Linked DNA regions of Drosophila melanogaster. The protein of the gene in region 1 purifies or fractionates together with the protein of each later gene. This does not show direct contact. Each region holds a gene or a part of one and is shown on either strand. Other genes may lie near its edges.

The links.
Region 2: the proteins of CG3226 (region 1) and CG2852 purify together in Drosophila melanogaster (affinity purification with mass spectrometry, with the first as the bait; one large-scale study listed by BioGRID). This does not show direct contact.

Annotation. Positions count from the first base shown.
Region 1 is NC_004354.4:6,652,568-6,656,321, forward strand, and holds CG3226 (uncharacterized protein), read right to left. Parts: upstream 1,682-3,754; 5' UTR 1,594-1,681; coding exon 1,579-1,593; intron 1,514-1,578; coding exon 1,341-1,513; intron 1,164-1,340; coding exon 659-1,163; 3' UTR 546-658; downstream 1-545. Other genes in the region: Cdc7 kinase, read left to right, coding at 2,583-2,913, 2,983-3,205.
Region 2 is NT_033778.4:22,644,101-22,648,360, reverse strand, and holds CG2852 (uncharacterized protein), read left to right. Parts: upstream 1-2,016; 5' UTR 2,017-2,089; coding exon 2,090-2,179; intron 2,180-2,315; coding exon 2,316-2,440; intron 2,441-2,826; coding exon 2,827-3,229; 3' UTR 3,230-3,715; downstream 3,716-4,260. Other genes in the region: CG34445 (uncharacterized protein), read left to right, coding at 1-167, 228-372; CG34446 (uncharacterized protein), read left to right, coding at 598-783; CG30195 (uncharacterized protein), read left to right, coding at 1,152-1,330, 1,386-1,668.

The DNA.
Region 1 (3,754 bases):
CGAGAAAGATCGCAACCAAAATAATTAATCATTAATTGTTTAACAATTAAATTGTTCCAATACAAACAGACAGACATACACACACACCACAACACACACACACACACACACCTGACCCGTGGTGTAAACTTAATTATAGAAAATTAAGCAATTGCCCGATTTGCATGCCAAAAGGTTGATAAGAAATCGAGCAAAAAACAAGATGAAGTGCACCACGGGTTCTCGAGCGCTGGCCATGATGAGCATCGCATCACATATAATATATATATATTATATATGTGTACTTGGATATATATCGCAGAACATATAAAGTGTATTTTAAATACAGCTAAAGTGTAATTATCAATTCATTTCGAAAGCAAACTAACTATTACAAATGGAATAGATTAGACCGCAAGGGTGTACTCTAAGCGACGAGCAGCATAATTGATTTTAATCACAAGAATTTAATTAATTAAATAAAAGCCTATATACAAATATATATATAAAAAGCCAAAAAAAAAAAAAAAAAAAAAAAAAAAAAAAGAACAAACACCACTCGTTTTAACTTAATGCCCTAGCTGGGAGTTTATTTATCCACATATACAAATTGTGCTGGAATCGAAGCAGTGCCTTAGGTAGTTAGCTAATTCGCGAATGGGTGTGGTTATTATCATATCTAAAGATCGTCGAAAGAATCCAATCCGCCGCCCGTCTCCTTGCCAAGCTTCGCCTTATCCTGACTCTCGGTCCAAGCTTTGGCGATCATCTGCTTCGTCTTGGAGTCACCGTCGTTGTACATCTTCTTCATGATGTTAACAAGCGCCGATTCGGGATTGTCGCCATCTTTGGACAATTCGCTGTCCTTCTTTTGCTTCAAACGCTTCTGGATAGCGGTGAGCACATCCCAGTGCTTGTCCTCAACCTTCTGCAGATAGATGGCCACCATGTCGGTCTTGATCTTTCGGTAGCTCTTCTCCACATCGATACTGTGCAGCAGATTGTTTACGGTCAGCCCAAAGTCCTTGCCCTGAAGATCGCGCACATGGAGCTGCAACGAGTTAGGTGTGTAGGTGACTGTCACATTCTCCTCCGTGCAGCCCTGCACTCCGTTCAAGGTGATGAAGAGCTTCACGAACTTGGCGCTCTGGTCCCAGCCGTAGTCGGTCAGCTCGTGCAGATATCTGGGCGATCGAAATGGGGATTCATTAGTGGGGCTTGCATGGTTTAAGAAATCTCTGCCCATATATAGTGATGTAGAAAGATGTGGAACTACATTTGGGATATGGACTAATCCCGAAGAGATTTTGTGTTTCGGTCGATTGGGTGTTGGGTTTCTTGGACCTCATGGATTTGCTCACCTCTTGGCTTCGCTCGACCCGGTGGCCTGTCGCTCTGCCGCAATTTTGGCCTTCAACTCCAGATTGACAATCTCCCGTTCCGCCTCCGCTTTAGCGGTGGTCAGCACGTCTTTTACGCGGGCACCTTTCGCCTGCTGCAGGAAGGCCGCCAGCTCGGCCACATCGCTTTTCAGCTGTGTTATTCGATGGGTGTGGGGTTATTTCACTGATGGCTCGTTTTTCAACAACTCGGACTTACCTGTTCCAATGACATTTTGTTTTGTCTGAATAACAGTTGATTAATTTTGTAGGTTCGCAGAAATTTCGAGCAATTCAATGACGCCGGCGCCCGTGGTGAATGTACTAAAAAACGATTAACGCGTGGCGAGCACGGAGCACACTGCGAAAAATACTATTTCACGGTATTTTCAGTATATCAAGTGCCAGCTTTGGTGCACAAAATGTTACATTTAATTATTAAATGTATATATTACTACGACAAAGGGTTGTTTTGTTTTAGAGCTTACTAATGTCAAATTAGAAATACGTGATATTTGAATCCAAGAATGGGCAGATGACTAGTAAATCATGATCCATTATTAATTGATATGATTTTTGTTATAAACTTCTACTTCCGCCGGAAAAGCGATTTTCCCGCCAAACCAGGGTGACCAGTTGGAGGCAGCACACAAGCAATTTTGGTATTACATCCCCGGCGGACGGCGAGCACACTGATCCATAATCTCGAAAAAACCATCGATGGCATCGAACCGGCTGGAACTGAACCATCGATATTATCAGTAGCGCCATCGATGGTTTGATAGCACCTCAGCTCCCGCGGAACGCCGACCAGAACACACGATTCAGACAATACGACCAGTGACCAGAGTTGTTCATGTGCTCCATCCAGGGTATCCACATACAACCAACGGACGCTGCGCCACAGCCAGAGTTCCGGGATTAAAAGGGCGGCGCAGCAGGACTCCGGATTGGAAACAAAAACTATCCAAGTGAGTAGAGGAGTTGTCATCTCAGTTACTGCTGCCGCTCGTCCATACGGCAAATGTCAAAACTGTTCAACCGTTCGGAAACACTTTGCTTTACACTTTGGCCTGGCCGAGAACAGAAATTTTTTAATAAAAAAAATTCCGTGTCAAAATTTGCTCTTTTTAGGCACTTTTTTTTTCTGTAAAAACCGCCATAAAACCACCACAAGCACCATCAATACGCCGATGCCCAAGAAGATTGTGCTCCTGAGGAACAATGGCCGATCGAGTTATGTGCCAGGAGTTGGCCACACCAGGCAGTCACTATCGTCGCCCCAAAACGGGAGTGCCCAGCACCAATGTGGTGTACGCCAATGGTGGCGGATCCTGGCGTGCGGCGCCAAGGCAAACCCAAAGGCTGCCGCGCCAGACCGTTCAGCAATATGCCACCGGCACTCCGGCAACTGGAAGCGCGGGCAGGCATTCGGGCAGAGCATTCGCCACTGCGGGCGCCACCGAGGAGCAGACAGTGGAATTCAATGGAGCTGCAGTCATGGGTCTGCCCGCCACGCCGCGTACAACCAAACAGGCACGCAACAAAAGCGAAGGTAAGTTCAGTTGCTGATCCAACTTGTTAGTGCATACAGATGAATTTAATTGGTTGTATTTTGCTGCAGAAGCCATCAATGATCTCCTCACACGAATCCCGGACATTGGCAAGCTGTTCGATGTTCACAGCCGGATTGGCAACGGAACCTTTAGCACGGTGCTGCTGGGCACACTGCGCCGGGAATCGCATCTGCCGGACAGTCTGCGTCGCAAGTTCGCCATCAAGCATCACATACCAACCAGTCATCCGGATAGGATAATGAAGGAGTTGCAGTGCATGACCAAAATGGGGTAGGTTCCTCATTTCGTTTCCCCACTTGGTGTCCTGTGTCCTTTGCCCTCCCGTATCCTTATAGTATCGCCCGACTGGTTGTAAACCAAACAACCAACCACCCACCCCACCCACGCACGCCGCTTCGTCCCCTCGTCTGCGTCAAACGCCGTTAAACGACGTCAGCCGCCGGCAGCGGCTCCATCTACGTCATTGCAATTTATATTTCGCCGCACGAACGGCAAGCGAGATGGCATGATTGTTGTAGCGTTCGTTTATTGCACTTTCACACGCCATTCACGTGCCCATTTACAGTTACATTGAAGCCCACGGTGCACAGCGAGAAAAATTCGCCACCTTTCTCTGCATTCATTTACGCATTTCACATCACTTTTATATCCGAAATATGTTAGATCTGAATACATTTCGCATTTGTTTATGCAAAATCGCATCTGCCAGTGCACAGAGAGAAAAGAAAAGAGTTCGATATCGCTGTGATATGATAAGTTCCAAAGAAATTATAAATAAATAGGAAGTTCGAGTTCGAGTTCGAGACTCACCTCTGCTCA
Region 2 (4,260 bases), on another chromosome or scaffold:
ATCTACGAGAACTTTGCCACGCCCCTGGCAGGCACTTTTCTCAACCTGCCACGCGAGCCCGTGGAGATCGAGTGCCCCGCCTGCGGAATCAAGGATCTGAGTGTGGTGCAAAATGATCTGAAGTGGTGGGCCAGTGAACTAAACCGCATTGTGGGATGTCTTTTTGTGTAGGTTGCCTTACTTTCTCCTATTTCTTGGAAACGTAAACTTATAAAATACTTTTACAGGACCTTCTGCTGCTGCTGCTGCTTTAATTACTATGTGCCGTGCAAACAAACCGATCGAAGTCATTACTGCGGCAATTGCGGCTGTTACTTTGGACGTTCCATGAAGAGGAGGCAACCACTCAAATTGAAGGCAACCACCGCCTAGGCAGCATTGTTCACATATTTATTAAAATTCTTCTAAACACTCAATTTCCCACCCACTACTGCAATACCATCGAAACAAAAATAAAGCCAAAAATATCACATTTTCTCTTTTTTGGGCCGATTTTTTTCTCTTTGCATATCATTTGAACATTTTATTCCTACAATTTCTCTTCGCTAGCCTCAGTCTGCGTTTGTTTTTAAAGCAGTCAACATCTTTCGGTGCGAAATGGCTCAGGATCCGAAACCACTTTACTTTGCCGTGGGCCCCGGCCCCAACGACATTACGTGTCCTTATTGCAGGACCAAGGCCAAGACCCGTGTGGTGCGTTCCTGGCTGCGTTGCTGCACCAAGAGGCATCACTGCGGTGCCTGCGGGGAGTACCTGGGCGTATACCGCCGTCCACAACTTTAGATACCCACTGAAGAAGGATCATCGGATCCGAATTATTATAACACAATGAACAAATGTAGATCAGTTTTGTCATTTAATTTATATTCAATAATAATAATAAATATACTGCTGTTTGAAACGAATAAAAGTTTACTATTTAATGTGTAATGCTCAAAATGTACACTATACTTTTTACACTGTACATCCAATGGCATTTGTAACGCAGAGAGAATAACTCATTTGATTTCCATGCACTAACTTAATTACCAGACCAACGCCTCGGTTAAGAGAAATCGGGAGAGTGATTCTGATTTTGATTTTCCCTCCCATGATCTCTCCAAATTTGATCCATCTTTCAGTCACCGATCGTTCTCGCTGGAACTCGCATCATGACCGTGGACGAACCGCAGATTGTGGCCATCATTGTCAGCCACAAGCCACAAGTGGGATACCTGAAGGAGGAGCCCACCTGGATCCGTTGTCCTTCGTGTGAGAAGTCTGGAACCAGTTTGGTGCAACTGGAGTTGGTCACTTGCCTGCAGAGATTTCTGGGATTCACAAAACTTTGGTTGGCCATCTGCATGAAGCTTTATAAATCTTTCGTAATGTTCACTTTATTTCAGTAAAAAATGGTCTGGCCGCCAGGACATCAATCACTATTGTTCACACTGCGGTTGCTTCATTGGAAGATTTGTGCCCATCAGCTGCATGGAACGATGCATTTCGAGATCAGCCCGTAAACAGGCGGCCGTGGATGATATGACCCTGAAGACACGACCCAAGGATTGCGCTGAAAGGGCCCAGAAATCCAGGGAGAAAGTTCTGGCCAGCAGGGAGAAGAAGAGAGCAGAGAAGGCAGCCAAGGATATGGACAAATCTCAGACGCAAATAGCAGTACACCAATAAATAAAAGCATATTTTTTTACTTACTTTTTGTGTACAGAACCGTCAATAAAACAAGAGAGAATGCTACGTGCTAATGCAAACTGGACTTCTAATCCCTAAAATATTAAAAACTATACCAATAAAGTCAACTCTTCGAACTTACTTTGTTCCTTCGTACGAAAACCTTAACTTATGCTTTCGGCGTATTAACTATTTGAATTTGAATTTTCCGCCCGAATGTGTGATCATCAGACATCGTCATCGAATGGTCACACTTAAGCATCGATATTTCGACAAAAACATAAAAAACGATGGAAAACATCGATTGGCGATGCAACAAAGTTTTCTTACATCACTAACAGAAACCGAAAATTCAGTCGTGAAATATCCATTGGCGACGTCGCTTGAGGAATAAACTGAAGCGCTGTGAATATTTAGAACGATGAAGCTGTTCTTATCCGTTTTCGTGGTAGCCCTGGTGGCCGGCGTCGTTGTTGCCGACGATAGCAAGGGTCCCAAAGTGACCGAGAAGGTGCGTGCTCCTTGGACTTTCGTCCTTACATTCTGCATACACCACGTACATACACACACAAACACACACACACATTTGCTGCGCCATAAATCAAGTGAGATGACTTGTTAATAATAAACCGCTTCCGATTGCGTAGGTTTTCTTTGACATCACCATTGGCGGCGAGCCCGCTGGTCGCATCGAGATCGGTCTGTTCGGCAAGACGGTGCCCAAGACGGTGGAGAACTTCAAGGAGCTGGCGCTGAAGCCGCAGGGCGAGGGGTGAGTAGGGTACTTGAGTACCGAAAATACCCCAACATAGTAGGGTGCCAGGTACCGCTAGGCCAGCAAAAGATGCCGCTAATCAGCGGCACTTTGTAGGTTATAGCGGGGCTCTCAGATTGAAGCAATTACGTGGCGTTTGAGCGGCCAATCGCATACATCAGTTGACAAAGCGGCACTAATGGGTTAACAAAGAACGCCAACTGTTATTAAGTCTACCATACTATAAAAGTGCAGTTCTTGGGTATTTCTTTTTTCTTCTCTGAATTTATAAGTATGCATGTTCTTTTTTGGTTAGGTTTCGAGTTCTAAACCCAGTTTTTTTTTAAATTTAAATTCCCATGCTGACAAAACTGACCATCATGCAACGCTCTTATACCCCGCAGCTACAAGGGCAGCAAGTTCCACCGCATCATCAAGGACTTCATGATCCAGGGCGGTGACTTCACCAAGGGCGACGGCACCGGCGGTCGCTCCATCTACGGCGAGCGCTTCGAGGATGAGAACTTCAAGCTGAAGCACTATGGCGCCGGCTGGCTGAGCATGGCCAACGCTGGCAAGGACACCAACGGATCGCAGTTCTTCATCACCACCAAGCAGACCAGCTGGCTGGATGGACGCCACGTCGTCTTCGGCAAGATCCTGTCGGGCATGAATGTGGTGCGCCAGATCGAGAACTCGGCCACTGATGCCCGCGACCGTCCCGTCAAGGATGTGGTCATCGCCAACAGCGGCACCCTGCCCGTTTCGGAGGCCTTCTCCGTGGCCAAGGCCGATGCCACCGACTAAAGTGTTTGGGGAGCATGTCATCCATCAGCAACATAACCGATTTGAACTAAGCATAAACGCATAATCGATTTTTCCAGACATTTGCATTTACCATAGCTCGCCATGTTTATTTACATTTCGTTCCGTAAGCAAGTAATTGTGCTCAACTAAAAACAGAAATGGCATAAATAAAGAATGATTTTTTGTGTGATAAAGAGCTGGAATCGTTCTGTGTGTCTATACCATGATGCCGGTGGTGTGCAGGTTCAATGAACCGGTTTTGGTTCCATCGCTTTCTTTTGGCTCTGACTTCCCTTAGTGGCAACCGGTTTGTGCCTTCTTCGCCAATTTGTTTGCCTTTGTATGTTGTGCCGTTCTCGATTTAGATTGCCCATGTTCTGTCTGTTTTTTCTCTTTGTTGTTGATAAACAACGCTCGGTTCGTCACATTTTTCTGATTTGCACACTTGCGACAAATTAAAGAACACACAGACGAGTTCATTTGTATATTTATTCAGTTTGTTTGGGCCTGCTGGGAACTAATTGTATATGATTGAATGAACAGGTGCATGACTGTCTCTGCAGAAGTTAATCGGGTCGATTGATACTTAAATAAGTGCCACTGGCTCATCTTTCGATCAAGTATCCTGTTCTTTATAGAAAGTTTCCTTTCACAACCCTTGGACTAAATATTGATTACTATATACATACCATACTATACTATCCCATGTATATAGAGGTGAAAGCCCGAAACCAGCCCTCTAGTAACTAATTATATATAGCATAATTTTTCAGATCTCAGACGCTGATGAATTGGCAACTTTTACAATTAGCGAATGCACTCAAATGCAACAACATTGTCTAGAAATGCATATGTCTGCCAATCCTTAGACTTCACGTCCCCCAATCTTTTGTTTAGAGCGAGAGAAACCAAGAACTGAAGAGACGATCTCATATCGTTCAAATGTGGGGAATCGTATATGTACATATATATGAAGACGTACATATGTGCAATTGTACCCCTTTCACAGACCCCACAATCGCTGTGTATAC